3 linked regions of the Arabidopsis thaliana genome follow. The protein of the gene in region 1 interacts with the protein of each later gene in a pairwise test. Each region holds a gene or a part of one and is shown on either strand. Other genes may lie near its edges.

Region 1 (8,987 bases):
TTGACTCAAGTTTCTTTGCGCCTTATCTAGAGTATATATTATCACACAAGCAAAAAATATATAGTAGAATCAGTAGGATTGTAGATCTAACCTCAATGGCATCTCTATTTCTCTCCGCCAAACGTCGTCGCATTAGTATTGAAAGGAGATTTCTTTCCATATTTTCTTTGCTTCCCCAATGCTGTCTTAAGATCTACACATCTTACAAGAAAGCACTTGGACAATTAGTTACCAAAAAAATGGAAACTTACACCAACTCAGTAAATTGCTTTCACTAGATAGAGATGAAGGAGTAAAGAATATATCTGAATCGAATGAAGCATATATGTTTAACCTTGTCCTTGTGTAGTTTTTATCAATGTCATCAACATATGTATTTACTTCCATTTCTTAAAACATATAGTTTGGCTCCATCCTGGTTGTATTTGGACAGTTAATTGTCCTCATTGCTTTTCTTGGACTGGTTTAAACAATTTGTGATTCTGAGGACAATTAATTGTCCAAATACATATAGTTTGGTTTGTAGGGTATCAGGTTTATCAATCATTGAGAGGAACTGGAACTCGATTCTTATATTCTCAATGTTTCCTTCACTTAAGGTTCATAATCTTCCCATCAAACTACTTGTTGTAAATCGACTAATTCTCTGGGAATTTGTCTAAGTTCTTAGTAATCGATGATGTGATGATAATCATGATATACATTAGTATACGACTGTACAAGACTAAGAAAATATGAATATGATCATTATTACATCACTACAAGAAAACGGACGAGTAGCATTAACATGAACAGATTGGACAAGAAATTCCGAATTCATAAGATTTTAGGGCTATTAACAATAAAGAAAATAAGAAATATGACCTTGATTGCTGAGGTCCTGAGGAGAGAAGAAGACTTGAAGATTGGAGATTACTCTGGTGAACAAGTGAACGTGGTGATCCATAAAGGAGGCGTGATCGTGTCTATAAATTATATACAAGTAGTGGGTCACAACTCTATTTCTCTGTCAATGGTCAAATGCACATATATATATATATATATATACATTACTTTTTTGAAGAAAAAAATATATATATTCCGACTCACCGGAATCAAACCAACGACCTAAGAATTACAGCAACTACTACACTGTTCCGCTCTACGAACAGAGCTATGGTCAGAATGCAAGTATACATAAATATATATATATATATATATATATATATATATATTTTCTTTTGTCAAAGATTGCATGTGTATAATTCTATTATGAATATACTGATCCAGTCAGAGGAATATGCTACAAACTTAAAATATTAACATTGAATTGATTACCAAAGTTATGTTTTTACTATTAACCAAGTGCAAAAACATAGTAAGAAGTTTCACGATGGAATTAGTGATGCAAAACATAGTAAGATATATATTTTAGTTTTCCAGTTCAATAACATCAGTTTAGCGTTTGGTTAGCGAAAAGAAAAACAAACATAAAACACACATTTTCATTAACCAAAAGATACATGTTCCAAAAATGGTACGGATTGCTACTCTACAGTCTCTACTCTTTTTTTGGCATGAACAATACAAAAAAAAACCTTGGACGAAAAGCTTCATCTTCTTCAACAACATTAGTTTTGTTTCTTCTTCAACCAATCTTTTTCTAAGCTGCTATTCCATTTTTCTAGGATGAGATTCCATCAAGCATTCTAATAATTGAGTTTATAGAGGAGATTTTTTTATGATCACAAGCCAATATTTCTTCCTCCTCCTTGGCATCAGGTCCTATTACCGAAGACAAAGACGGTGTAAACTGATAAAAGTCTAGAGCTGAAGTGTACCACCCTGGAATCGAACCTATGACTTCCCACTTATTAGCTCTCAGGTCGTACCCATGAAGCACTTGCTTGTAATGGTCCTTCTTCAATATCTCCCTCAGCATTAAACACTTTCCATCGTAAGCCTCCGGGTACCAACTATATAGCATCTTCTCGTCCAGTACCCCGTTCCGGATTTGCTTCAAGACGACCCACTTGGGATCAGTAAGAATGTTCTCTACTGCATAAACGTAAAAGACTTCTTCCGTCGCCGATATCAAGATTAAATTGTTATCTGCGGCTGTGAACAACGTTTTAGAACAAAGTTCTTTGGGGAATCTGATCGAGATCAGTCGTGCTTTCTCTGTTTCAGGGTTGAAAGCTACGATAGCTCCGTCATTTCTTAGCCAGTGAAGACCTCCCTTCATATAAACAGGTTTTTTCATACGGTCATCAAGATTACTTGTGCAGCAAGTTAACGTCGTTTCCGATAGTTTCCATGAATAGCCTACGTTAATCTCAAACTCATATGTTGTCTCATTGCTGTTTCTCACCTCGTTTATGATGACGATTTTAAAACTATTGGTTGTTCGATCAATCTGATCTACAGAGAACCCGATGACTTGTTGACGACCTCGTCGTAGAGTAGTAACCCAAGGGAAAAAACTTTGACCTAGAGTGATTAAAAAAACGAAACTTCTTTGTGAGAGGATTTGCGACGCAGAGATTTTTATTGAGGAAGAGTAGAAGAAGGCCAGAGCAATAGCCTAAAATGTGACACTCCGTCAAGGCTTCTACTGTTCGCGGTGACCTAGAATCACCGTAAAGGTGGTAGCAGAGCAAAGGGGAGCCATTGAATGCTATGTATAGCAAACTTGATCTGACCCGAGAAAAGTATTCGGATGCAAAGTTAGGGGTTTTGGGTATATGAGATTGAAGAGATCTATTTGTGCATTGTATCATGGCCAGAGATCTGTGGTCTATTCTGAAGAGAATCTCGTCGAGGAGATGATGAGGTAAGGTGTCCATGACAGGAGAAATTAGGACTTTTGCTTTTGCTTACTTCTTTTGATGTTATTTTCGGTGGGTTTTTGTAATGATGCATTTATAGACGTAATTAAGGAAACAGATTGGGCAAAGATTTGCAATTAATAAAAAGAAAATTTAGTTAATTATCAATCAAATTATATGCATATTGCAATCTATAATTAAATTTCAATAGATTGTGAAATAAATGAATATTGAAGGGCAAAAGATTCATGACTAAATTATAAGAAAACGAATAAGTGTCAGAAAAGTAGGAATAATGTGATTGGTTTTTAATAGGATTTCTAAATATAGTACTTATAATGTAAATGTAAGAAAATTAATTAATTGGAACCTCTAATAAAAATATTTTAAATTTAAAACAATTAGAATGTTATTCAAGATAGAAAAAAGGAGAATATAAATATTTATTTGCATGTAATAACAAATGCAAGATCGTAGAACTATGTTTGAGTTTAATTAAAAGTCGTAGAGATTTCATTAGAAATATGTTTTTGACTTAAAGTAACACTTATTGTTTAGTGGCTTCTTTAAATCACAGATATTTAAAGGATCGGGGGTATTACTTACAGTAATTTTAATGTTTATATAATTTAATAGATTTTCGAATTTTTTTTGTTTAGTGATTTGAAATAGTCGTTTTCTCTATCTTTTGTTTTTGTCTTTTAACTGAATATAGGGTCTGAAGTCTGAATAATGGTGAAAGATGTGACTTTGGACCACACTGTGTTCTAGGAAATAGGTTTCTTAAATAAGTAATGCCTGCATTTGTATTCTTTTTTCTCCTTTCATATATTCAGAAAATATATGACTTTTGATTTTTGTTTGGTGTAAATGACTATTGATTTGTCGACAGCATCATGATTCTTTTCAACAAAAGGATTGCACGAAACTTATTTCGATACCAAACTAAAAATTTACAGACGTATATTGATGAATCTGAGCAAAATGTTCTATATGACACATTTTCAGGAAAGGATTGTGCTTTTTTATTTTTTTAACGTATGGCCAAATAGAACATTTGATCCATTCATTACACGTATCAATATGTCTAAATCTGATAAGAAAAAGAAACTAAAGGGTCTGACCACCAAAAGAGAAGGCCATTCTCTGAAGATCCTTGGGGAATACGTCACAAGCTTGGCTTTGGCTCCAAGGAAAGGCAATGTTGGAGTTGAAATCCGTCTCTGATTTCACGTAAACTTGGGTAGAGAATAACGATTCGTTTAGGTACTCCTCGGACCATTTCATTTCTTCCATACCGGGATTGTTGAGGTGGCTTGTGGTTCCACTGTTTGATTCCCAATTAGGCTCTGACACGTTTACATGATCCTGTCCAGAGACAGTGCTTGAAGTGTTGTTTGGAGGAGGAAGAAGAATAATCGAGGGTTTCACGCATACTTGTGTATCAAAACCCGCATTTGAGACAGAACCATCGTCGATGTTGAATTGCGTTGGGATCATGGAAGAGAGCGAATTTCTGAGTGAAACAGAGTTGGATTCTTCTTTCTGAAACGCAGAATACTCGGCAAAATCAGACGTTTTCTTGACAAACAAGTCTTGATTAGTTTCTGAGGAAAAACTTGTGGAATTGTTATTGTCGCTTCTGTTTGTTTCTTTACCAACCTCGGAGAGGGGTTTATGTGTAATAGGGTCAATGCCTTTCTTCATCAGCTTCTTCTTAATGCACGAATTCCACAAGTTCTTTATCTCGTTGTCGGTTCTCCCGGGAAGCCTCGCAGCAATTTGCGACCATCTGATACAAGATAACAGGGGATTTCAGAAAATACTCTGTTTCAGAAACAGAGAATAATTGTAATTGTGATTGTTACCTGTTTCCAAGAACAGCATGAAGCTCGACAATGAGATTCTGTTCCTCTGAAGAGAAAGCTCCTCTCTTTAAATCAGGTCTTAAGTAATTGATCCATCTGAGTCTACAGCTCTTTCCACATCTCTCGAGACCTATAGAATCATACAACTCTGGTTCTGTAAATGACTTAAGGAACAAAAACACAATTTTAGGCCTTTTTCGGAGAAGAGAGAGTTTTACCTGCGAGTTTAGGGACAGAACTCCAGCAACCATGGCCATGTTTGGTAATGTAATTGAGAAGTTTCTCATCTTCTTCAGGAGACCAAAGACCTTTTCTCAGCTTTTGTTTGTAACAACAAGAATGTCTCTTCATGTTGCAATGCTGTGGAAAAGAACAATGAAGAAAAACTCTGGTTTCTTGGTAATGTATTGATGAAAGAGAAAGATTAATGGATTGTGAAAAAGGTTGAGAAAATGAAGTAAGAGATGTGCAGAGACTAATACATAAATAGAGAGGCTATGGAACCGACGAAAAAAAAGAAAAAGGAAACAAAGTCACTTTCATAAGAAGACTTTTGTTGAATTTTATGTTTTCTTTTTCTGTATTTAACTTTCAGAGAAAAGAGACAATATGATGTGCTTAGCTGGGACCAAAGACTACTCATGTATAAGTCATGAGACTCGTGTCTTTTCTTTTTTTCGTGTGTGGGTGTGGAATCTATAGAAACTAATCTTGTTTTCAATTTCATTATACTTTATTCAATTAGGTTTAAATTTTAACTATAGGTGCTATTCGAAGGTAACTAGTTTGGGTCATTTTGACTAAACCTATGAGAAAATGAAAAATGCGTTGTATATTGATTGGACTTCTCGTTTTGACAACCTTTCATGTCACCTAATTGATTGTAGTCGACTATGCAAATTTTTCTCTTTTCGATTGGGTTTAGATTACTCATACCGCCCTAAGAAATCGACTAAAGAGTTGATTTTCGAAAAACTTTTATCGATACCTATGGCTGGTTTGAGGCTTATTAGTTTCAACGAGACTTGTGATGATGGTTAATGTTTGGAATGTTTAAACTTTGAACTTATGTTTATTTAGTTTTGAAGAGATTTATGATGATAAAAACAATGATCTATTTCATAAATTATAATTCTAAAAAATTTCATTCAAAAGATTTCTCTAAATTTGATTTTTTTTTTGACCGGGCATGTTAATTAATTAGAGTGAGAAATATATTGTACTTGAACTTGTACCTTGAGATGGCGGTTGAAATACAATTGTTTCAAACTTTATTTCTTTTGGTTATAAGTTGTTTATGGATTTTTTCTTTATTCTTCGTTATAATTTTTTTTTTTCATTTTAAATAATTGAGCATTTGACGAGGGAATCTCTTGATGCAGGAACCACCAAGAAGCATGAAGTAGCTAGACAATTTATGTTGGTTAATCGGTTAACAAAAAAATTATGTTGGTTAAAATAAAGATCGACAAGACATATCTCATAATCAAACACAATAAAAAAATAGGGCTACTTGATTCTATTGTATGAAATCATGTAATAACGAAGCTGCCTTTAAGGTACTTCGGATTAAAAATTCATCAAATGATTGAATTATATTGGAAAATCATATAATTCATTGAAAAGACTTTCGAATCGAAATTGCAGACATACAAGCTTTTAACGAGTATCTTTTGCTTATACTATTAAATTAAGTCGAACAACACGTTATTGAAAAAAATATTATGCTATATACTAATATTATTTCCTCCCAAAAAAAATCATCATCCTCTTCATCAATCATATCATAATTAGCATGACAATGATCCGCCGTAAGCCTTCCATTATATGAAGAAGGTCGGATTTTGAGGTATTGATTTTGATTAGATTCGAATGATGCATGCAATTATAATATTTTTGGTTTATGGAGCAAAAACTTTGCTTTACTTTTTTCACTGTTCAAAAGGATTCTTATAATGAACTTCATAACTATTTTTCTGAGGGTGGAATTATGGTTTCTAACATAAACCTAGATGGTAATTTGTGGTGTTATCCATGTTATATATATTTGTACTTTAATATTAGGAGATGATAATTAATTATTTTGGCTTTTCATTTCGAATCTCAATTCCTTTTGTATTGGTTATGCAAGTTTGTTTTGCAGCTACCATGTAAGTAAAAATGTCATACGAACTTTAGTCAAAACTACTTTTAAATTTAAGTCTTTGCAATTTAACTAGTTGTGTATATAGGAAAAAAAAACACTACTTAATTGATACTGTAAACTGTTTTAATAATTGAAGATATCAAAATATTAGTGGATGTTATATTGGCCATTTTTTTTTTATATCCGCAAAGTTTGGAACCAAACTCCGTAGATTTTCATAAACCAAAGTGAGTGAATTCACCGCTTCACAAATGAAACTTAAACTAGAGGGCTCTAGGATGACCCTAGTTTATTTGCTACTAGACCGAGCAACACTTGATATTGAACTAAACTTGATAAAACAGAGATTTTGATACACTCAACATATACTTTTATGTTGAGTGTATCAAAATCTCTGTTTTAAGTTGGTGAAGCGTGTACCCGACAGTTTCATGTCCACATAGCTCAACATTGTTGTATTTATTGATTTATGTGGGCGTTTCAATAATCTGTGTAAATCCAAGATATCATTGTCGTAAAAAAAGGCGAGGGTCAGATTTGTATAGCGACACTCCCCGTGAAACAGTTGTGCAATTTTACATGTTTACATAGAATTCCAAGTATTTAAAGACCAACCCTTTGGCCGATATATGTATAATTGTACATAACTAAATTCTATAAAACGTAGACGATAAAATCATAATGTGGATTTTATGCATGTCGTTAAATGGTATGGTGTTATTTAACTTGTTCATATATGTTTTTTTATTAACGAGTTTACTTGATAAATGTTATTCACTTATTTCACGTAATATTACGGTTATTATACAAGTTTAACAATCACATGGAAATATGTACTATTTACGATTTTTTCATCGCATTTTTTGTCAAACAAAAAGGTAGAATTAAGTTATAAAAAAGCCCTACATATCAAAAAGTTATATTGCTGAAGACGAACGAATAGTTGCCATGCTTAACATGCATTGCATTGGAATGGTCAAATAGAGATGCTATGAATATATGAGCTGTCCTCTCAAGTCAATTGTTCAATAACTCGTTATATTATATGTAATTTATAAGCTAATCATCACTGTCCTTTTCGTTTGTCTTTGTCATAAGATTGACAGAACCAATAAAATCTGAGGACGATTAAATTAATATATAAAGAAACTAGAGATTTAATATTTTGAACTGAATAAAAGTTATATAGATTACATGAAGGATCGTTGTCATTATCACTACCACAAAACTTTAACATCATTCACCGACAAATGGAAAACATTAAGCTGTTCACTTAATTAACACGCATCTCATATATTATTTCCCTCGTATATATTAAACTTTATAGATGAGATTTAATTTCTTTCAACTACCTATGCAAAATTTATTTTATTTGATGTTTTGTGACAATTATATTAATCTTTGATAATTAGTTTTGGTTAAACTTTTTTTTTTATTATCCATTTTTGTCAACCACGTAATTAAATTAAAAAAATATATCTTAATAGATTATCTAATATGAAAGAACCGAGTTTACGAAATTTCATTTTTAAATTAGTTTTGACTAATGGGTCTCTAAGTTATTACACCCGACTAAATATGTGGAGTCGATAAGTGATAGCAAGTTAGATTTACTTGTTCTAAGCTAAACTAACAAATATAGATAAGTTAAGTAGATTAAAACTTACATAATTGAATATTTACATGTTTGGAAAAAAAACTTGAGTAAAAGAAAAAAAACTTGATAAAAATCACTAAAAATTATGTTTACACTTGAGTTAAAAGCAAACATTTTATCTACATAAGATGATACTAATACAAACTAATGGCCTATATATATTTGTAATCCATGAAATTTAATTTTATTTTTGTAACAGACATTATGATTGTAACATTTTAATTTCTTTGCCCAAAAACAAAACATTTTATTTTTAAGTTATTCGACTTCTTATTTGTGTTCATCCCATTTTTTTGTTTCCAACCGATGAACAACGGAAGGTTGCGTCAAAACGCAAAGGGTTGTGTTGTTTGTGTTGAAGTGGAGCTCCTTCATTTTAGGAACAAGCAGAGGACGTTACACAATCAAACTCAGTTTCTTCCCTTATTTAACGTAACCACTAATTCTATTTTCTTGTTCTTTTACAAAGTTCATAAATGGAAATGAACACGTAAGAAGAAATAAAACAA
Region 2 (11,825 bases), on another chromosome or scaffold:
TACTAAAACCATTATTATTAGTTCACTAATAATATAATAATTACAACATCAGTGACCAATAACATTTCCATGTCTAAACTTTATTTATCCGGCTGCTTGAATTAATAAAAAAATATGTGGTCCCTTTCTTTTCAATTTACAATACATTTTATAAGTTAATAATTTAATTAATTTTTTTTGTATTTAAGTATTTTTTAAAAATTAATATATTTGATTAGAAAAAAAGAATATGATAAAGTGTCCCTCTCATATTCGGATTGTTTTTATTGCTTTAACACTCAGAATTATATTTTCCCGTGGAAAATGTCCTAAATTGAAACCCAAACGGATAGGCTTCTACTATTTCTATCATTTTCAAAACTTTTATATTTCTGTTTTAAGATTTTCAAAACACTTGACCAACAGCAATGAAAAATCTGGTAGCTGATCATCTGATAAGTTATTTTTAACTAGTGCTGGGATAATATTCCATAATTTAGAATAAAATCCTCAATATAATTACTCTTAAGTCTTAACACTTTCATAAGTGATTATAGACTCTTTCTTCAGTTTTTTTGTTATTCAAAAACCTCAATATTCCTTCTTAATCAAATCAGTATTAAAACTTGAAACCATGAACCATCAATGCCTGCTAATGTATATCGTTGTTAGTTCACGTACGTTCAGGACATCAACTTCTCCTATGATGATAATGTATGTTTCTGTCTAACCCCTCCTCTACACTTTAGTATTTATCCATTGTTAGATGTTGTTACCTTTTCATGAATTTAATATTATTTTATTAATTTCTTCTCTGAATAACTGTTTCTTTTAAATGCATGAGAAGCTGGAAAAAAACCTCAAAGTGGTAAAACTGAAACTGACCCTTTTCGTAGGATTGAAAAGTTATTCTACTTTGTGTTATTTTTGAAAAATAAACAATTATATACATATATATATATATAATTTATATGAAAAATAAGTAATATGTTATCCATCTCATAGGAGTTATGAATCTGGACTAAATTGCGATTAGAGTGTATACCATAGTTTATTAAATATTTCCACTCGTTAATAAATGAATTGTGTGACGACCAAAAAAATAATGAATTGTGTATAGGATATATAGGCCATGAAACATTCAAATGGTTGGTCTCCACATGGGTGCGCAAACTCTATCTTTGTCCAGCCAATCATAGTACTATATATCTTTTGCTATTTTCTCTCTTTATTCTTTTTTTTTTTTTTGTAAAATTAGTACGTATTAAATTTTAAGATCTTCATTCAAAAATTGTTTTCCATGTTCAGTTAACGTGTCCAGAAAAACAATGGAGTTAAATCTAGATATAGTTAGAGTGTTGTTGTTCACACGTATAGATACTTATTTAATTATTGTTTATAGGTCTTATTCATGTTTTATTTTACGCATCTTAGAATCCTCATTTACTAAATTACTAAACATTTCACGGCAAGATGACTTGTTCAACTACATTATCAGTATCATATACTACTATTAAGTACCATTTTAATTATTTAATAATTTCCAAATGTGACCCTTGACTCTTAAGAGGGGGTTAAGGGACTCTTTGATTAGAAATATAAGTTAAATAAACACACACACGAGCATATACATAGTATAAAGTATAGTCCATTATGTTAACAGACAGGTGTCAAGCAATAAAGCTATTTATACAAAACTCTATTTCCATCCATTTCAATAATGAGCAGTGTAAAGATAATCATTCACACAAATCCTTACATTGATTGGAAGTTTCTCTCCTTTTTGTACCATTTTATGATTTATAATAGAACTCTAAAAGCCAAGTTATAAATGTTTAAACCCTAATTATCTTTCCCACTATCGACCTCTGTGGGTTTTATGTGTAGATGTACGTAAAAGCCTACTTATCATTCCTTTTCCGTAGCCACTTATAGGACATTTATAACCCATTTCTTAGATTTCGAACTATACAAAGATTTTCCGAGATTTTTGAATGATAATAATAATAACAAAACTCGTTGCTAAATAATGTGGTTTGAAGTAAATTTTTGGATATATAAGAAGATAAATCACGAAAAAACTCGTGGACATGTTGGCAACAGAAACGCATTTGGAGAAACTCGCAACGTCTCGTATTTATTTGAAACACACGTTCCACAAAAACATTACCATTAACTCTTGTATCATATATATACATATATATTGTCCTCTCTGTGTGTATAAAACATGTGTATATATATATATATATATATATTAATTATAGCTTGTGATATATACCTAGCTTAAATCAAAGCCAGGATTTGATAGTATAGACCTAAAAAATGTTGTTTACTGATCACTAATCCTCGATATGTAAAATAGTAAATTCAAGAATCAAGAATATCGAACACATGACCTAACAAACTAAAGCAAATTTAAGATGAAAGTTTTTTTCTGAACATATCATATTTTTTTTTTTTAAATGAACATATTCATTGCTTCTAGATTTTTGCTGTCAAATATGAGTAACTTTCTGTGACGTATGTTTTTATACAGAGGTGAAAACAGGGAATACGCCATCAAGAAGCAGGGAATCAGTAACCTACTATTTTAATAGAAGATTCATTACCTTGTTAATCACGAAATTACCTTCTTGCTCATGAATCACCAAGTCAATGTCAATGTTTTTAGAGAAAAAAACACACATACATAATCATCAAGTCAATGTTCTTGCAATAGTTATACCTTTAGTTTCCCCCAAAAAAATATTAGCCAATTAAATCAAACAAGAAAGAAGATATTACTTAAAAATCTCTACAAAACACATGACTACATGAGCGAGTGAATTCGATAAGGGCTTGAAGAAGTGGTATGCCGATTGACTATTGGGTTAAAAATAGATGAACAATTGAGATTCTTAGAATTAGTACCACTAAATTGACTAAAAATCAGTAAATGATTGAACTCATTTGAGACCAAACATGTGGGAGATATATATGGGAATGAATGCTTTCTAAGTGGACACGAAAATTCTATATTACAGTTGAGATTCGTTTGAACAAGCTCTGGGGAATATACGGGGGACAAGATACCAATTTATTACTAAAATAAATACGATTAAAATAGTCTAAATTGAGAAAGAGAAGATCCGGAGATGGTGGTGGTGGGTTTTAAGGCATCTTGCTTATTTATATCCTTAAAGGGAACAGAAATTGTCAAAAATACGTCATACGTGACGTTTTCTGTCATAATTAGTAATATACTAAACATAATTAATTAGAACTAAACGATAAAGTAATTAGTTAATTGGTATATAAATATATGGACTATGGAGTATAGGCTTTTTCATCTTTATATTTTGCTTATTATTTATTAAAAAGTTTGGCATTATTCATTGCCAAATGACTACAGCAAATATACGATTTTGATGCAGAAATTTAAATTTATTGATCATCTAAAGATCGCACTTAGTTTACTATACGAAAATCCATGCACTACACTACTAGTGATGGTACAAATGTTTAGGAAATAAAATTATTATGTTAAATTTTGTATTGAAATAAATATTTGGGAGTTATAATCTTATCATATAAAAAAACTAAAATAAATAACTAACCCAACATATATGTATATCTACATTATAAGGATTTGAATTTATATGGTAAACATAACTATACTAACAAAAATTATTATATTACATATCTTGGTTAAATTAGTAAAATAGATTTATTTAGTGTTTTTCGTTTGTCGCTTGTCATACTTTTTGAGTTCCTTCAATTTGAGTATCATAAGATTTTTAGGAAACTTAATCTTGATGTTATAAGTGATATTAATCGCTTATTTATAACATCTACTTATTTATCCATCATCGATCATTTTTTAACGGTTCAAAAGATTTCACGTATATTAATGTTCAAAATTCTAAAAAAAAAACATTTAATCAAAACATTTTTTTCTAAGTATTTAAGTAATTTTTCCGGATAATATTTGTTTGGCAACGATCAACATATATCATGACTCAAATAAATTTTGATGTTTCTAATTAGTAAAATGTGGAGTTGGAAAAAAGTTCTTGCAAAAGGTGAAAAGAACAAAAATCAGAGATGGAAACACTTCCCACATGCTTATGTTAGTCCCACCATTTAGTGGTAGAAATGTAATTTATCCAAAGAAGGAGGTCAAAGCTGCTTCGTCTCTAATCCAAGTCTAGCCAGTATTGTTGCCTGCATAAGAGCAAACGGTAAAAGTGACGGACTCTTAACGATGACGGGTGTTACTGTTTAATGTCTCTTGATCGACTTTTGTTACCGTAACGACAACGGCACGCGCCCTCACGCTCCGTACCAGCCTTAAAAGCCAACACATTTATGATTTATCCAGTAACTAATACTAATTCCTTCATCCACTAACGCAATTGCATTTAATTGTTTAGTACGTATAGAAAAAAAGTAAAAAGCTATTTATAATTATAACTTACAAAGTCTCTTTCAATTAGTACAGTGTAAAACAACCAATTATTTTCTATATTATACAGTATAAAGGTGTTTATCATAGACCCATTATTTATTTGTTTTTGACTAAAATATCAAAGTGTATTAAAACATAAACCAAATAAATTTGAAATTAAAGTTTTTTTTTTTTTTGTAAAATTAAAACTGATTTTTGGTTTAAATAGAGAAGCAAAGCTACGCTTTTTTTTTTGCTAGCTCTTTTTTTATTTAATCAAACAAAAATTGAGGAAAACAATTATTGTTGTGCTAAGCATTTCTATCATATATTTTTTTATAAACAATACATTTAATTTCAAAATAACTTTCTACTTTCTTCAAATCAAGCTATTTCCTAGAAATTTGGTACTGTCTGGATAACAACATGTCTTAGAAAGTATAGTAAGGAATTTACAATTGGTTATACAATTAATGTATAGCGTATTATTATATACGAAAAGGTGTCCAATTTTAGACATACATATAAAATCAATTTATTAAAAATAAAAGTATTGAAAAAAGAGAGAGTGAAACGGAGATAAAAGCAAACGGAGGTGTTAACTTAAAGACGGGAGAGAAGCGAGTGAGAGATTCTTTCTTGTAACGGCGTTGTTTGACGATTATAGTGACGAAGAGAGACAAAAAAAAAGAGTTTAGTCTTCTTTGTTTGGGAGACGAAGACGATAGAAGCTGGTTTTACGGGAGAGAAATTAGAGAGGTTACAGTTACAGAGCAGGAAGGATTGCGTTGCGTTACGATTCAGATCTCTCTCGATCGTTACTTACATGCATTAGAGAACAAGAAAACGTGGAGACGGAATCCAAGGGACCTTCTTCTTCAATTTAATTCCTCACTTTATTACGCACCCTTCTTTTATTTTCGACTGTTTCAGCTTCCGGTTCTTCATCGGAGAGAGATAGAGAGACTGTGTGTTTTGGTGTGACTGATAGAAGATTTAATCAGCTGATGGCAAATCGCGGAGGTGAGAAATTGACCGGAGTTTTGTTTTTTTCTTCAATTTTCCGGCGACATTACCGGCGAAATTAACCGGTGTACATTGTGTGGTGAAACAGGTGAATATCTGTACGATGAGTTATGGAAATTATGCGCGGGACCTCTTGTTGATGTTCCTCAAGCTCAAGAAAGAGTTTATTATTTTCCTCAAGGTCACATGGAACAAGTAAGCAGCTTCTCTTTTAGATCGGTGAAATTTTGAGAAAGATTTTTTTTAATGAAACATTTCTATTTTTGGTGGTTCAGCTCGAAGCGTCAACGCAACAAGTCGACTTAAATACGATGAAGCCTCTTTTTGTTCTTCCTCCTAAGATTCTCTGCAATGTTATGAACGTTAGTCTTCAGGTATACTTTCCACATTTAGCAAAACCGAATTTATCTGATGATGTGTCGTCCATTAGTTAAAGCAATATATATAGATGGATATTGTAGAAAATCTATGAAGAAGCTGGAAATGATTAGACTAAATATGAGTGGAAGTTCTGGATCTTGTTTGATTTCTTCATTTCTGTTCTTGTCAGGCGGAGAAAGATACGGATGAGGTCTATGCTCAGATTACTTTGATCCCTGTTGGAACTGTGAGTGACACAATTAGATCACTTGATTGTTTTTGTTGTTGCAACTTCCTTAAATTCAATGTTTAGTGGATCTCTAAATGTAAACTGTAGGAAGTTGATGAACCTATGAGTCCTGATCCCTCTCCTCCTGAGTTGCAAAGGCCGAAAGTTCACTCTTTCAGCAAGGTTTTGACAGCGTCTGATACAAGCACCCATGGTGGCTTTTCTGTTCTAAGGAAACATGCCACGGAATGTCTTCCTCCGCTGGTATTAGGACACGCTTACTATTTGTGCTTTGTTTCCCACCAAAATGGCCTTTGATATGAATTTCTTATGTTCTTATCCTTTAGGATATGACTCAGCAAACCCCGACCCAGGAGTTAGTAGCCGAAGATGTGCACGGTTATCAGTGGAAATTCAAGCATATTTTTAGAGGTGGTGAATCCATTTCTTGTTAACTCAGATCAAACTTTATGTATCCATGATAATTGTATAAAATGAATGATAATTCATTAAACAGGCCAACCACGGAGGCATCTATTGACGACAGGGTGGAGCACCTTTGTTACATCAAAGAGATTGGTTGCTGGGGACACCTTTGTATTCCTGAGGTATTATACTTCACGCTGCTACCTTGTTTTGTTTCTTTTGATGGTCCATTGGTAGATTTTGAACTTCCAAGCTATATTATATTTTCCAGAGGGGAGAACGGAGAGTTGCGAGTTGGAGTCAGACGTGCTAATCTTCAACAGAGCAGTATGCCTTCATCCGTTATATCAAGTCATAGTATGCATCTGGGAGTGCTTGCTACTGCACGCCATGCTACTCAAACGAAAACTATGTTCATTGTATACTATAAACCAAGGTAGACAGTTATTACTCTATGGGAATATCTGAGGTGAGTTTTTTCGACATTCTGCTTATCGAATTACTCTCGGTTTGAGCAGGACAAGCCAATTCATCATTAGCTTGAACAAATATCTAGAAGCCATGAGCAATAAGTTCTCTGTAGGGATGAGATTTAAGATGCGTTTTGAGGGAGAGGATTCCCCTGAAAGAAGGTAGTCTGAATTTTTTCTTTGTTATGTATCCTGCACTTTGTCCCCAAAGCTATTCTCACACATCTATTTCTTTACAAAGATATTCTGGCACGGTTATTGGTGTGAAAGACTGCTCCCCTCACTGGAAAGACTCAAAATGGCGATGCTTAGAAGTAAAATTCCTTCCACTTTTACATGTTTTTTAAAGTGTTTATTAAGTGTGAAAACTCAATCAGTTTGCTACATGTTTGTGTAGGTTCATTGGGATGAGCCTGCATCGATTTCAAGACCCAATAAGGTTTCACCATGGGAAATTGAACCGTTTGTAAATTCAGAAAACGTTCCCAAATCAGTTATGCTGAAGAACAAAAGGCCCCGTCAAGTTAGTGAAGTATCTGCACTTGGTGAGGCACAATCTAACCGCCACTGATTTGCTAGTACATAGCTTAAGTTTCCTTGCTAAATCTCACATGCTGTGTTTAGATGTAGGCATAACAGCTTCAAACCTTTGGAGCTCTGTTTTGACGCAACCCCATGAGTTTGCACAATCGTGCATCACCTCACAGTGGAGTTCTCCTCAGCAATGTCATCGTGATGCAAATGAGGATGCTAAGAAATCTGACTGGCTAAATAACTCTTACTCTGTGTCAAATGTAGCAAAAGACTCAACACTGAACGACCAAATGGTTTCCCCAGTCGAGCAGAAGAAGCCTGAGACAACCGCTAATTATAGATTATTTGGAATTGATCTGATGAGTTCCTCCCTAGCGGTTCCTGAGGAGAAAACTGCACCCATGCGACCAATCAACATATCCAAACCGACTATGGACAGCCACTCAGACCCAAAATCAGAGATTTCAAAAGTATCAGAAGAGAAAAAGCAGGAACCTGCGGAGGGATCACCAAAAGAGGTCCAAAGCAAGCAAAGCAGTTCTACAAGAAGCCGTACCAAGGTATATATATGCCTACATGGCTACCGTGAAGTGTATATACATTGTGTAATCTGTGAGTTGCAAAACAGATACACATTATGTATAATGTTTGCGGGACTGAACAGGATCCTGAATTCTTTATCGCTGAACAGGTGCAGATGCAAGGCGTACCTGTGGGCAGGGCTGTGGATTTAAATGCGCTAAAGGGGTACAACGAGCTCATAGATGACATTGAGAAGCTGTTTGACATAAAAGGGGAACTGCGGAGTCGCAATCAATGGGAAATAGTGTTCACAGACGATGAGGGAGATATGATGCTTGTCGGTGATGACCCATGGCCGTAAGTAACTTACTCTTTATCTCTTAGTCAATAGAATCACTACACAAAACTCATATCTGTTGACTTAATTTGGTGGTGCAGTGAGTTCTGCAACATGGTGAAGAGAATATTCATATGGTCGAAAGAGGAAGTGAAGAAAATGACGCCTGGGAACCAACTCCGGATGCTGTTAAGGGAAGTTGAAACAACACTAACAACAACTTCCAAAACAGATAATCATTCCAACTAATTTTTATTCTATTCTCTATCAGTCTTCGTCTCCTTCTTATTTGCTTTGTCTTTCGGAATTATCTTGTTTGTGTCTGTGTTTTGTTGCGCATGGCTTAAACAAGAAACTACATCCCCTGAGGCAAAAAAAATGGCTCGTTTTTTTGGAGCCTCTTATGGAGAAAGGGGGTTTATGGGGAGAGGGTTTTCTACTTTTAAAATAGGCTTTTGGAAGTTTCTTTTTCTTCTAGGAACTTGTGTGTAAGAGAAACAAATATGTAACGAACAGAAAGAAAAAAAAAAAAAAAAAAAAAAAAAGAGAATGAGATTTGTGAATAACTTGATGAAGGACTTTTGGGACTCTGGGATTATAAGAGATTAAAGAGGGATTATACCTCATGGCTCTCGTGTTTTCTGATTCTTTTTCGTAGTTGTGTTTTCTTTGATTTTGTTTTTCATCTAAGTTTTAATGTATATATAAAATTTCAAACATGGCTTTCTTGTATTTGTCAAATCCCCAAAGGTACATATATTATCAATATTTAAAATGTTAAATAAACAAAACTCTAGACCTAAAACTATTTCAGGTTTTCCCACTAACCTTAACAATGATTCAAGATTATTGATGTTTTGTCTGTGAGGACATGTATGTGGCCGCTCTTGCCACCATATTCACAAACGTAATTGTATGAAGTATGGACCACCTTTTCGCTACTACTTCTGGATCCCCTTATGTTTGTAAAGTGTATCATTCCCTTATATCACTATTCACTCACATGCATTAAAATATCGAATGCTGCAAAGGAAAAAAGAGTTATTTTTCTCTTTAGATATCATTTGGGTTATGCATATTACTTGGATTAGTCCAATATGTCGTGTACAACCATTCTCGCTGCAAAACAACTACAATATGTCAACATAGTATAACACATGCTGATCTGGTGAGATTATAAATTGTGAAGTTTGTCTTTATAATATGTACATATAGTATTTCTTTGATTATGACAAGTGTGTAGAAAATGTTAGGATATTATTCTAAATCCCACATACGAAAGATTAGATAATGATTATCCAACATATAAGTTCAATCTAATTTTAATTAGTGTATCATTTGGGGAAAAAAAATCGTGCATATCTGGTTGCTTGGTCCAAATATCTATATTTTCTGACGGTCCAATATTTATATACGTACCACATAAATACACCTATACGAATCTCTTTACTAATACGTCGATACCGTTCATAGTTAATGACGTTATTTACTGCCGAGATAATGAAGTGATGATGTAGGTTATTTATTGCCGAGATTTGTGAAGGCAGTGGATCTCACAATCCCTATCTTTTCCTCTTCTTTTTTTTCTTTTTTTCTTTCCATATATAGAGAAGTTTAAATTTAATTGTACCATTAAAAGCTCACCAAATACCAACTTATACATACAGTCAGTATCTATATCAGGAATTTATATGTATGTGTGTATACCGAATAATAGTAAACTCATTTTACTAATAAATAACTTTGTTTTATTATATATTTGATAAACAACTTGTTATAAATTATTTTAATATGTTAAATTTGAACTTATTAAATTTTAAGTAATATTCTAGTGACGGAAGTATACATTGTATTTAAATTGCATAGATGTAATTACTTATTTTAAAAACTTATAGCACTATTCAGTGATTTACTTTTCCAACCTAAAATCGAGGTGTAGAATGTCTACTCTGGAAAAAAAAATCGCCTATAAAATATCAATATCAATGGTGAGTTTTGTTCTATGTACCAAGTTTCTCTAAAACAATTTGTCTTTCTATTAAAAATAAAGAGTACCACGATGGAGCCTCACAGAAAACACTCGGTCGGCGACACAACCCTCCACACGTGTCATCCTTGCCGGCGCACCATTCCATATAGAATCTACGCCGTATTTCACACGTGTGGCATCATAGCCCTCATGTATCACCATGTACACTCACTTCTCACAGCAAACACAACTCTAATCACGTCTCTCCTTCTCCTCTCCGATATTGTTCTCGCCTTCATGTGGGCAACCACAACTTCCCTCCGGTATAAACCGGTTCGCCGGACCGAGTACCCTGAGAAATATGCAGCTGAACCGGAGGACTTCCCGAAACTGGACGTGTTTATATGCACGGCTGATCCGTACAAGGAGCCTCCGATGATGGTGGTCAACACTGCCTTATCGGTGATGGCTTACGAGTATCCGTCCGATAAGATCTCAGTCTACGTATCGGACGATGGAGGTTCGTCGTTGACTTTGTTTGCTCTTATGGAGGCAGCTAAGTTCTCTAAGCATTGGTTGCCTTTTTGCAAGAAGAATAATGTTCAAGATCGGTCTCCTGAAGTTTATTTCTCATCAAAGTTACGTTCTCGGAGTGATGAAGCTGAAAATATCAAGGTGCGTATTATTCTACTAATCACTTATAATTAGGAATGTTTTTTTTTTTATCGAATGTTAAAATTGTCATTCATTTTGGTTACGTTGAATAGTGGGGAATAACATGTTTAATAAAAAAATTTGGACAAAAAAACATTTATATTTTTCGTGGAAGGAGTAATTAATAATGACAAATAAAAAATAAAATGAGTACAAAACTACAAACAGAAAAAATAATTATTTGCTAAATCAATGGGGAGCGATTGTTGTGTTGAAGAAGTCACTTCAGAACCTTATCGTATCTCTTTTCGACGATAGTGGCAATCTTGTTCTTTTATGACCTAATACTTTGGAAGACTGTGACTCGTCGTAGTGACCTACAACAATTTCTCCCAAAAATATATACGACTATAGGAGTATTAGTAATCTAAATGATAGAAGTTTTTCTTTGTTTGAATTTTCAGTTATCCATGATTGCGCATAAGTAAAGTAAACTTGAATTGGATATTTCCTGCCCACCATTACTGTAAGCATTTCCTTGATATATCATCAATTATGAATTAAATATTAAACAGTAATTTTAAAGTTGAACCTCTAAAACAAAATGGAAAGACTTGTTCAGAAAAAAAAAAGATATTTTATGGCAAAACTGGTTGACATATCCATAGAAAATGGAGAGACTGACCAAATATTGTCAATTTCAATAAAATATCTCTATGATAAAAAGGACAAATTGGTCGTCTAAAAAAATAGTAAAAGTAAAAAGTGTATGAGAACTCAATAGTACACTAAAATTTAGTAATACTTCTATGTTATTATTACATGTAGTAAACAAAGTTGTCACAAGTAGTAAGATATTTTCAACCAGTGTTATAAATAAATCGTAATAAACT
Region 3 (10,349 bases), 1.4 Mb from region 1:
CTCTGGCCCCTATGATCCCATGATCTATTTAAAAAAAAATTGGTTGTAAAATCTTAAAACAGTTGCTGCCTAAGCTTTAGGTTAGGTTCTGCACATGCCCTAGCTTGGTGTACACTCTACCATCCCTAAATACATCCATTCCATATTTCCATGGATCTAAACTCTCTTTTGATAGTTTTAGTCTTCATGTTGAAGTAGAGCAAATAAAAAGGAAAGAATAGAGTGCATCAAGATTTCGTCAAGTATTAGTCACTCCAACAATAATTCGTCCTCAGCAACTAATCTAATAAATACGAAATTCATAATTTAATTCTTAGTATCCACCCATAATTCAAGATGTGTACTTTCTTCACTAAGTTCCTCAAACCTATCTAACAAAAGCTGAGGATCCCCATAGTATCATGAAACCTAGCAGATAATTTAGAGTTATTAATGAAATCATTTAAAAGAAAAAAAATAAACAGTCCTAAATCCTAATATAAATCCAAGTCAAAGCAAGATAAACAATGAAGAAGTTATTAAGAGATGAGATCACAACAGTTGTTTTGGAATCCTCTAAAGGAAGATAATAAGAAGAAAAAATCCTCTAGCTCAGGAAGAGGTTTCTTCAATACTCCTTTACTCGACACTTAGCCACTTTCCATAATTTTCTTCTTCTCACAGACTCTCGGCTTTCTCCCCTTAGTCCTCAATTTCCTTTTCATGAACTGAATTGGGATCTTTAATCTATCAGAATCTACCTTTCTCTTAAGACATTCAGGGATACATGAAAGGGTAGTCTATGACAGGTTTATCATCACACAACCTTTGACTCGCCATCCCAAACATGTATCCTAAGGCAATCCCGACTGGAACAGCAACAACATGCCACTTTCCACAATCTTCATCTTCTCCCAAACTCTAGCCTTTCTTCCCTTAGTCCTCATTTCCTCTTCATGAATTGATTTGGGATCCTTAATCTACCGATACTAATACACCATGTACCTACATTGAGGAACATTGTATGCACCAGCAGCCATTATGCCTCATCTTGCTTGGTAATTCTTGTTTACAAGACGAGCTACAACATAACGACCAACAAATCTTTCCATGAAACCTAAAAGATTTACAACGTTCTCCATCAAGACGTATTTGGGCTTCAAGTATAGTCTATGATATTCATGAAACCGTCACTTCATTGTTTTTTTTCATCTTGAAGTGGTTTATCTTTATTTCTAAATCGGTGTAAAACCACTAAGTCCCTGGCATGGAAGACCCCCACATACAAGATGCACATATTCCTAAAAGAACGACACAAGGTCGAAAAGTTACGAAAAGTGGGGAACAAGAAATATTTGGAGGATTTACATGTGTAATTAACATGACTTAGCTTACAAGAAGTGGCAATAAATTTGACTTGAAACCCTTCGTTACGAATTCCTTAAGTTTTTATTTGTATTTTCTAATGAAACCATATACAGATTAGAGGACAACATGAGAAGGCCAAAGCAGTAATTTAAAAAACCTTACCCCAATCCATCATACGGCTCCCAAGTATCTTCTTCTGATTTGTATTCCTTCTAATACACCTAAAAATGATGTAACATAAGAGAAAGTTGATATATAGTTAATCCCATGCATGATGACTAGCATTTAAAAAGAGGACTCTTATAAACAATATACGTGCTGATTGTCTTGCAAAAAAGGCAATAGCACGAGGTTTTATCTTTTTCATGTAAGCTCTTTTATTTTGGACTGATTTTTTTCCAAAGAAAACCGTACAGTTCTAGTTTAAATAGATAATTTTATTTTACCGTTCATATAAAAAAAAAGCCAAAAATAAAGTAATTTTACCAATGTTATCTTTGTAACACTATGTCACAATTTAAAGGTTACTTCTGTGATTCTAAATATATTGGGAACAATTAACAAACTTCATAAACTATATGAGCAATTTCATTCGAATGTTTTATGGAAAAAAACCTTCACGTAAAAGATTTTCAAAAGAAAATCTGTAAATGATATCAATATATAAAGGATATCAATATAAAACGGATATATTTTGATTCATGATAGTAGAGAATATATAAACTCTTTGGAGGAAAATAAGCCGTGTGTCTTTGTGATACTCGGAAACTTAAACAATATTAGAATCAATGTGATTTATTTATAGAAAAAGGAATAAGGCTTTTAAGCTTCAATCAAACGAAGCTTATAGCTGAAGATATTAAGAACTTGTTGTATTCACATAAAGCAAAAAAGATGAAACTTGTTCGTCCTTTATTGTACATCTAAAAGACTAAAAATTTATGCTCATAATGTTTTCTTTTGCCTTTTATATTCATATTACATTATACATGATCCTCCTTTCTTTTGGCGCATGGCATATTTTGTCAAACTCTATTACAACATTGATTCTAATCGATCTACAGTTGAAACTAGTGAATCGAATTTTCAGGTAGAAGTTAAATTTGATTTGAAATGTACTCAAGTTTATGCTATCTTTCTCATATAATATCCAATATTTTAGACTAGTTATATGTTGTTTATGTCGAAGATTGTTATTTGTTAGGTACGAAAAATTTATATGAGCCACCACATATATAGTTGTAATCGACCATTTTCTGTAATTTATTGGTTAAGATTTAAGAAGACTAGAAGAGGGACCGATGTCACTAGATTCACAAACTTAGCAACTTAAATTTACATGAATCCAAGTTACATATTAAACCAATGACAAGAGCCGAAGCACCTCATGAATCCAAAAAATCTACGTAGGACGGTAACTTTTGTTGATCCTGAGACAAAGGATATAGCCGAATATGAGTTGCAACCAAATCTTAACTTCTCTCTATCAACGACGATAATCTTAGTTGCAACATGAAAAACATTCATAAACAAACATTTGCCGGTTCTCCTTTAGTCGCGGAATGATCTCTTTCCAATGGCCAGAGACATGTTGTGGTAATCAAGCCTAGTACTTCTTTAATTTATGGTTCCGAGAACCATATTTGAATGTGTAGATTCACCGTTCCATACGTTCACTTTCGACCTTAACTCCATTTTCACTTTTTAGAATCTTGAATCCTGACTCCATGCTATGTTCTTTTAATTTGTTTGTACTTTGGAGAAAACCAACATTAATTTCCAATAGGGCATAATTTGAGATTTTGTTTTTTAATAATAAATACGTACTAATCATGCATGGGACTTGTTGAGTATTTTATCGATATTGAGATCTAAGGTAAGAATTCTGTTCTTGCATTGCATATATTTTTGAGTGGCATTTGATAGATTAGACACACATATATGTCTTTATAGTAACATATGAATAATCTTTTTTCTGTAAACATAAATGATGTTGAATGCAAATCAGTATATATTTATCGGTATCTATACTAAAATCATATATGTATATTCAAATCATAAAGTAGGAAGCAGTGTGGGCCGCTATTCTACTGGCTTCCACTACTGAATTTCCATAATATATAGTTCTTAATCGAACCAACAAAAAGTTGAATCCATATGGACACATATTTATACATGGATATGTACGAACATAAATACATGCATGTATCCAGAAAATGTGCAAGTTTGCAAGTTTGGACATAAATGTAACTATGTAAGAGTAACGGCACTATCACAAACAATTAGGTTATAAGTGTTGGTTTTGTGATTGTTAAAATTAAAATTTATGATTAAACATGAAAAAAACAACTCTATAAAAACAACAAAGAACTTCATATGACAAACCACCAATTATTATGTTCTCTAACTTTAATAAGTGATTAACAAAGATGTTACCAACGACAAAAATATGTATATATATATATTCAAGAACAATGACAGGAACAAAAGGTTATTCAACATAAAAACAACCCATATATGCTAAATTCAGCAATAAACCCCCCTTAAAATATTGAAAGAAGAAGAAAATACATTAAAAATTATTGTTATGCTTTAGAGTCTCCAAGCTGAATTTAGCATATGTTCCCATCCGTCTTGACAACCACAACCCTCTCTCTTTAATCACCTATATATAATTAAAAAGTGAAATTTAGGTTAATTATTACATATATAACATGAGAGTATGTAAGTTAATGTTTTTAAAAATATATCTATCTATTAGTTTATGATAGATTATTATCCCAAATTTTCTAAGCCCTAAATCATTCTTGCTTTCGTAGTTGGTCCCCTCCAACACTATTGTTGCCTCTGCCCACCTTTGAAGAGTCACCTTCTTCTTCTCCCATCTCTACTTTTTCTCCAAGTAATGATTCAATCTTTGATCATGACTTGTGAATTTTATTTTCTTTTATTTTTATGCTAAGCATTATTAAATAATATCTTAATGCTAATTAAGAACCGTATGATATACGTAATTCACCTTCTCTACCTGAAATTGTTGCCCCCAAACGTTGGTGTCCAAAAATCGGCTGTTGTTTCGTTAGCCACCGGAAACGTGCTTGATATTGGGACGAGACATAGACCATGTCCTCTTAGTTCGTGATTCTCATTTTCATCTTGACTCTTCGATTTACCAGATATCTACATGAATCCATACTGAAATTAGTACTTATTTAACCATGATTATAGCACGAAGACTCCAACTTGGACAAAACTAAAACACTAGATCGTGTATTGAACCTGCTGTTGTTGTTGGTTCGAGGCACCTTGTTTCATGTATGGAGTGCTTAGAACCTGTATTTAAAAAACATTAATATGCTTAAAAATTTGCTCATTTCTAGGGTTTTATGAATTCAGTGAGTTAGGAGAGAAATCACAAGAAACGTACAGTGACTTGGTCGTGAAGGAACTTGATGTACTCTATAGCTTCTTGGAGAACAGATGCAGTATCTGTCTGAAGTTTAACCCAAAGATATACAAAATAAACAAACTAAGAAGCTCAATACATAACCAAGGGAAAATAAATGCTTTTGGTTGTATATATTAAGCCATATAAAATAAAGTAAACACATAAATCATTCACCTTTCCGAAAGGTGAAACTAGTTGTTGTAATGAAGTTATCTGGTCCCTTAGATTCTCTTTTCTCACCTGTTACATATACAATCCATTTTATCCACCAAGAAATTGAATTAAAATAAAAGGTCTTAAACAAATCTTGAAATATGATCATGTACCTTGAAAGTTGGCAACGGTGAAGGCGTGGTGACTCTCGGTTTCTTCGCCGCAGATTCATTATCCTTTGCTCTCTTCAAAGACTCACTCTGAGCTCTTGTCTTCAGATTCTTCTCAACAAAAATAAATAAATAAATAAATTCAATAATATAGCCACAAAACTTATATAGTAGCAAAATTATTTTGACATATATGAGATAATTTACCTTGGTTTTGTCCTCCAAACGAGTAGATATTATCTGCGGAGTGGTTACAAAATTGCTCGGCGTCGTGTTGTTTAAGTTAGTGGTTGATGAAGAATTCCAAAAGGGTCGAGAGTTTGCGTTGTTAGAGAAGCTGTTAATTAGTCCATAAGCTACTTGATGATGAGGATTTGTCTTATTAGCCCAAGAAAGTTGAGGATCGTTGATTGAACCACTTGTGGTGGAGACAAAGTTGTATGGACTTGGTTCGGGATCGTAAAAGGTTCGTATCAAGCTTGAGGACGAAGAAGTTGATGGAGATGAAGAACAAGCTGGATTAAGTATATAAGGTGAAGTAGTTGTGGATAAGAATCCTTGGCCATGATCTTGATCTTGTGAGCTCCTTATGAAGCTTGAGTTTAAGTCTTCTTGTCTGAAAAATACAAAACAAGAACAAAAGAGATCTCATGATTATTATTAAAAATCTTCAATCTTGTTCATCAAGAAAGTGAACAAAAAAAATTAAGTTAGGGTTTTTCTTTAAGAAGTTTACAAAATGGTTTGGTTCCAATCTGAAGAACAATTTGAGGAAAACCCTAGACCCATCATCTGCAACGTCGAGTCCATCGTCACGGTACTTCCTCCACTGTCAGAATCCGCCTCTCGCTGCCCGAAAACGATGTTGTTGTTGTCCGTACAAGTCATCCTAGATTTGAGATGATTCTCTTGCGAGCTAAAATCATTGGAAGTGATAGCCGCTCCGAAGCATGGTGACAAGAAATGATCCGAAGGAGACATAACGCTCCTTGGCGAGTTCCACCACGCGCCACCTCCGCCACCACAAATCGATGCCGTAGCTTTAAACTCCTCCGCCATATTAAGAGAATCAGAAAGTTTTAGTATAAGCTTTCTACTAGATCGTTGCTATACGAAGGTTAAAGTTTTTATATATATGAGTTTGTTGTATGTGATATGAAGAGCATAAGTGTAAAATTTTGATATATGTTTATGAGGGTGTGTATGTTTATATAGGCAAGTACGGACAAGTGTGTGGAAATTACCGGAATTTAGTTGACATTTGAAGACAAAAACTTATATCATCATAACATTCCTATGTGATTTTTTTAATTAAATAATCTTGATTTTAAATTTTTTCCTTAAGCTAAATATTTTATTTGACAGAAAGATGTTGTAATAATAGTGTTCCTAATCCCTCAATTTTCTTCTATTATTATAAGAACAACTGTCTTTGTGAGATTTGTTTCTTTGCTGCTTAGCTTTTCGAAGAAGTGATAATGATCCTCATTTTATAAATATTTAAATATTTAATTTGAGATTAGATAGGTGTTTGGTACTATTATGCAAGATGCCAAAAGGGGATACTATTTATATATAGACATTATATCTAACGGTAACCTTTGATTGGTTGCCATCAAATTCTACAAATCGATCGTTTATATTAAGTGGTCAGAAATAGAAAACATATCACGATTTTGATTAAATCAGTTTTTAGTAATTGTATAGACAAAACACGAAAATGACTGATTATAGTCTACGCATGCGTATATATATAAATGTACATAAATATGAAAGACTAAAATTTTGAAACTTGATATTTTTTTATTACTTTCATGCTTCCATACATGATTTTTATCAGATCACTTTAGTAAGCTTAGGAAAAAAAAAAACTAATTAGTCTATGCAAGCGTATTAATAATTGTTTTATTATTTTGGTAATTATAAACGACTAACCAATTTTTGAACAACGTTTCTTCTAATTAATTATCCATACTTTCATACAGTAATGATTATCTTGAAGTTAAAATATATGTTTTCTCAATCGCATTTGCTAAAAAAAACTTTAAAACATATATCTTCAAGGATTAGACTCACTTATTTTCAAAAGTAATATTCAAAGATTCTTTCGAGATAAAAGTTGAGTCCTAGGCTAGCTCGTTCAGGTTTGAGTTTTCAGTACTTGGGAGGGATATTTATACTTTAACAGGTATTACTATTACTAAAAATTAGTTTTAGATCGAAAAAGCGATCATAGGAATTTTTATTTTTTTAATAGACGATCAATTGTTTTTAGCTCGATTGGAAAACGCAAAATTAATGGCAAAACCTAGAGTTAGCACTTGATATGAGTTCGATATTTATTTCATTGTCGATCGGATTCTTTCGGTTAAAAATAGTACTATAAAATAAGATTTGTTCTTGTGGCTTGAGGCTAAAGGGATAAATGGTATATGATGACGATCGTCGATCGATGCTGAGTTTCGATCTGTGTGTCACGTCACCGTTTCTGGACCTATTGTGTTTGTGACTTTTTTCACAATCTCTTTATACCAAACGGTCCTTATTCTTTTCAACTAGCTTTTTCTAAATTCCGTAAATATTTTATTCTTCTAATAAATTTGATAAGTCAATCAATTATTGCACTTTAATTACAAGTCATTGTTTTGTTTTTCTTCTTTCTCTTAATTCTTTTTCCATTTTATGTGATAGACTGATAGCCACACAAAATATCAAAAAATGGATTTGTTGAACCTGATAATAGTAACCAGTTCTGTTCTTTATGATCATTATACGGCTCGAGGCATAGTGAACCGGGCTGTGTCACCGTCCATAAAATATACAAGTTTTATCAAACGATAGGCATAGATAATAAACATAATTTCACCGATATCCATGTATATAATATTTATATATCTATCTCCTTTCAAAATAAAAAAAAAAATTGGACATATTCTAAGCTAAATTGTGCTAGTATCGTTATTACGAAATTCAAATTTACGTTATGTATCTTGACAAAAAAAAAATTGTTATGAATGCTTGAAGAATGGTATTTTTACGTTACATGTAATACAAAAAAGACACTAATCATTTATGGTAGTCCAATGATTCAAAAATATATTTTGTAATTGGGAGACCATTGTTCATGGTTAGTAGAAGTGAAAGTCTTAAATGTATTCGGCAAAAAAAAAAAAATATCAAATGAAACTCGTAGATTTTTATTGTTCATGGCTATTCGAATTGTGAAAAGTCTTAAATGGTAAAAATATGACACAAAAATATCAAATGAAACTGGTAATATTTTATTGGATAATGGCTATTGAGGACAAATGAAGACTATAAAGGCCCCAATTTATCTAATTATTATTAAAATATTAATTAAGAACTAATTGAATTTTTTTCTTAATGGTCTCTCTATGCGACACAATGCATTTTGACTTAAAACTTAAAAGAGCTTTGAAGCACTGAAATACAGAGACAGTTAGGTCAGATCCATGCGACTGACTAGTAAGTTTTCATCGTGCAATTAAAATTAATTTTAATATAAACTAAGAAAGTGTCAAAACAAATTTGATCAATTTGCTTAAGCCCACCAGTCCACTCCGCCAAAAATGAAAAAAATAATAATTCATTATTGCAACGTGACTAACTTTTTATTTATTTATGAAAACACTTGTTTCGTTTAGGTTGATATCGATAAAATAAAAGTTATGAAATGAACGTCAAAAGAATGTGTCACAGCCACCGTATGACAACATAAGTTAAATCCGAAGAATCTTTGTCAGCCCATCGGTTGTTTTCTCTAACGGTCTGGTCGATCCCATCGATATGTACACCGACACTCCTCTAAGCTCTTGTCGGTCGATATTTGGATTTTATTATTATCGGACACATATGCTAAATTTTATAGTCCCCAATCTTATTCAGCTTTCTTCCATTTTCTGTTTAGTATATTCATGGTGGCAACATATATAGTTGAATCAACGACTAGTTTTGAAATATACCGCTTTTCACAATGCAAGTATACGAACACTTTCGGATGTTGGAGTAAAACTTGATCACGAACAATGAGATTCATGCACTCGTTGTATGAAAAAAACTTAGTTGACGAAGAATTGCTCCAAAATACGTATTGCTATATACGTATATAAAGTGATATAGACACGTATATACGATTAGAAGCAATATGAACATGTATAAAATTTAAAGTAGGTGAAGGAAAACGACAAGTAGTCAAAAAATAGGACCCACACGGCAAATATGAGTGGAGACTTTGTTTGGCGCAGATAGTCGGATAAGTGTCAGCGACTCATTCTTTTCTTCAAACCCCAAAATCAAATCATCATATGTCCTAACAATTTTTTGTTTTGTATTTGGAAAAGCACATGTTTCTTTGTTTTTATGTTTATGATAACATTCTTTTTACACGTAAGTAACGTAATGCTGTTTTTGGGACTCACGGGAGCTCATATGTAATTATTATTTTCATGTAGTTCACATAAGTTCGAAAACTAATAAATAATTAAGTTATCTAAAAAGAGTCCTAGTATTATATGAATCAAATTCTCAAAATGTCCCATATAACAAATTATGTCAACAACATACGTACTAATCTCTTTTGCAACAAACTCAGCCTTAATTTTTTAAACAAACTAAACATATCGAAATTTAAAAGGAATACCTCATATTAAAATATACTATAATCATTAAAATTGATATAAATATTCGATATATTGATATATATAAACCAACAAAAAAACCCAAGTAATATTGGAATTCAATTAATACTGTTACTAAAGAGTGTATATCATGGCGAGATGTGTTAAAACTTGTATAGTTACGTAATTTTTTAGTGATGGTGCGGATAAAAACTTCGAACCATTAATTGTCAATTATACAGATAATTTGCTATCTCATACATAAACTATAAAATATTATTATGAGGCTTTTAACATGCAAAAGATATTAGAACACAAATAATGTTTTGTTTTATTTTTATTGGTTGAAATGAAAGTCACTGAAGAATAACAGTCGAAGAATACAAGCGTAACGCATATTTCTCTCATGACATGCCATTTCTACATCCGATTTTACATATCAGTTGTATTTCTATTTTTATTTATCTATCAAATTTTTATTGATCGTAATATTATATATCTCATTATCTCATACTATGTAGGATATATGTCATACTGACGTAAGGATGAAATGCAGAAAACTACAAAAACGAAGCTTTTTTTTTTTGCACGATT

Evidence for each region.
Region 2: the proteins of MYB50 (region 1) and ARF9 interact in a two-hybrid assay, tested with the Arabidopsis thaliana proteins (one large-scale study listed by BioGRID).
Region 3: the proteins of MYB50 (region 1) and AT1G61660 interact in a two-hybrid assay, tested with the Arabidopsis thaliana proteins (one large-scale study listed by BioGRID).

What each region holds. Positions count from the first base shown.
Region 1 is NC_003070.9:21,312,890-21,321,876, reverse strand, and holds MYB50 (myb domain protein 50), read right to left. Parts: upstream 5,131-8,987; 5' UTR 5,027-5,130; coding exon 4,894-5,026; intron 4,806-4,893; coding exon 4,676-4,805; intron 4,600-4,675; coding exon 3,918-4,599; 3' UTR 3,685-3,917; downstream 1-3,684. Other genes in the region: AT1G57570 (Mannose-binding lectin superfamily protein), read right to left, coding at 92-160; AT1G57565 (SWI-SNF-related chromatin binding protein), read right to left, coding at 1,664-2,242.
Region 2 is NC_003075.7:12,446,180-12,458,004, forward strand, and holds ARF9 (auxin response factor 9), read left to right. Parts: upstream 1-4,963; 5' UTR 4,964-5,412; coding exon 5,413-5,428; intron 5,429-5,519; coding exon 5,520-5,626; intron 5,627-5,706; coding exon 5,707-5,805; intron 5,806-5,981; coding exon 5,982-6,038; intron 6,039-6,128; coding exon 6,129-6,284; intron 6,285-6,367; coding exon 6,368-6,452; intron 6,453-6,537; coding exon 6,538-6,628; intron 6,629-6,717; coding exon 6,718-6,882; intron 6,883-6,964; coding exon 6,965-7,078; intron 7,079-7,157; coding exon 7,158-7,230; intron 7,231-7,313; coding exon 7,314-7,461; intron 7,462-7,540; coding exon 7,541-8,010; intron 8,011-8,141; coding exon 8,142-8,329; intron 8,330-8,410; coding exon 8,411-8,558; 3' UTR 8,559-9,190; downstream 9,191-11,825. Other genes in the region: CSLG3 (cellulose synthase like G3), read left to right, coding at 10,312-10,953.
Region 3 is NC_003070.9:22,749,995-22,760,343, forward strand, and holds AT1G61660 (basic helix-loop-helix (bHLH) DNA-binding superfamily protein), read right to left. Parts: upstream 6,378-10,349; 5' UTR 6,178-6,377; coding exon 5,855-6,177; intron 5,735-5,854; coding exon 5,326-5,734; intron 5,230-5,325; coding exon 5,122-5,229; intron 5,036-5,121; coding exon 4,970-5,035; coding exon of another isoform or gene 4,886-4,969; exon of another isoform or gene 4,841-4,885; coding exon 4,775-4,840; intron 4,681-4,774; coding exon 4,627-4,680; coding exon of another isoform or gene 4,609-4,626; exon of another isoform or gene 4,528-4,608; coding exon 4,376-4,527; coding exon of another isoform or gene 4,372-4,375; exon of another isoform or gene 4,013-4,371; coding exon 4,009-4,012; 3' UTR 3,617-4,008; downstream 1-3,616.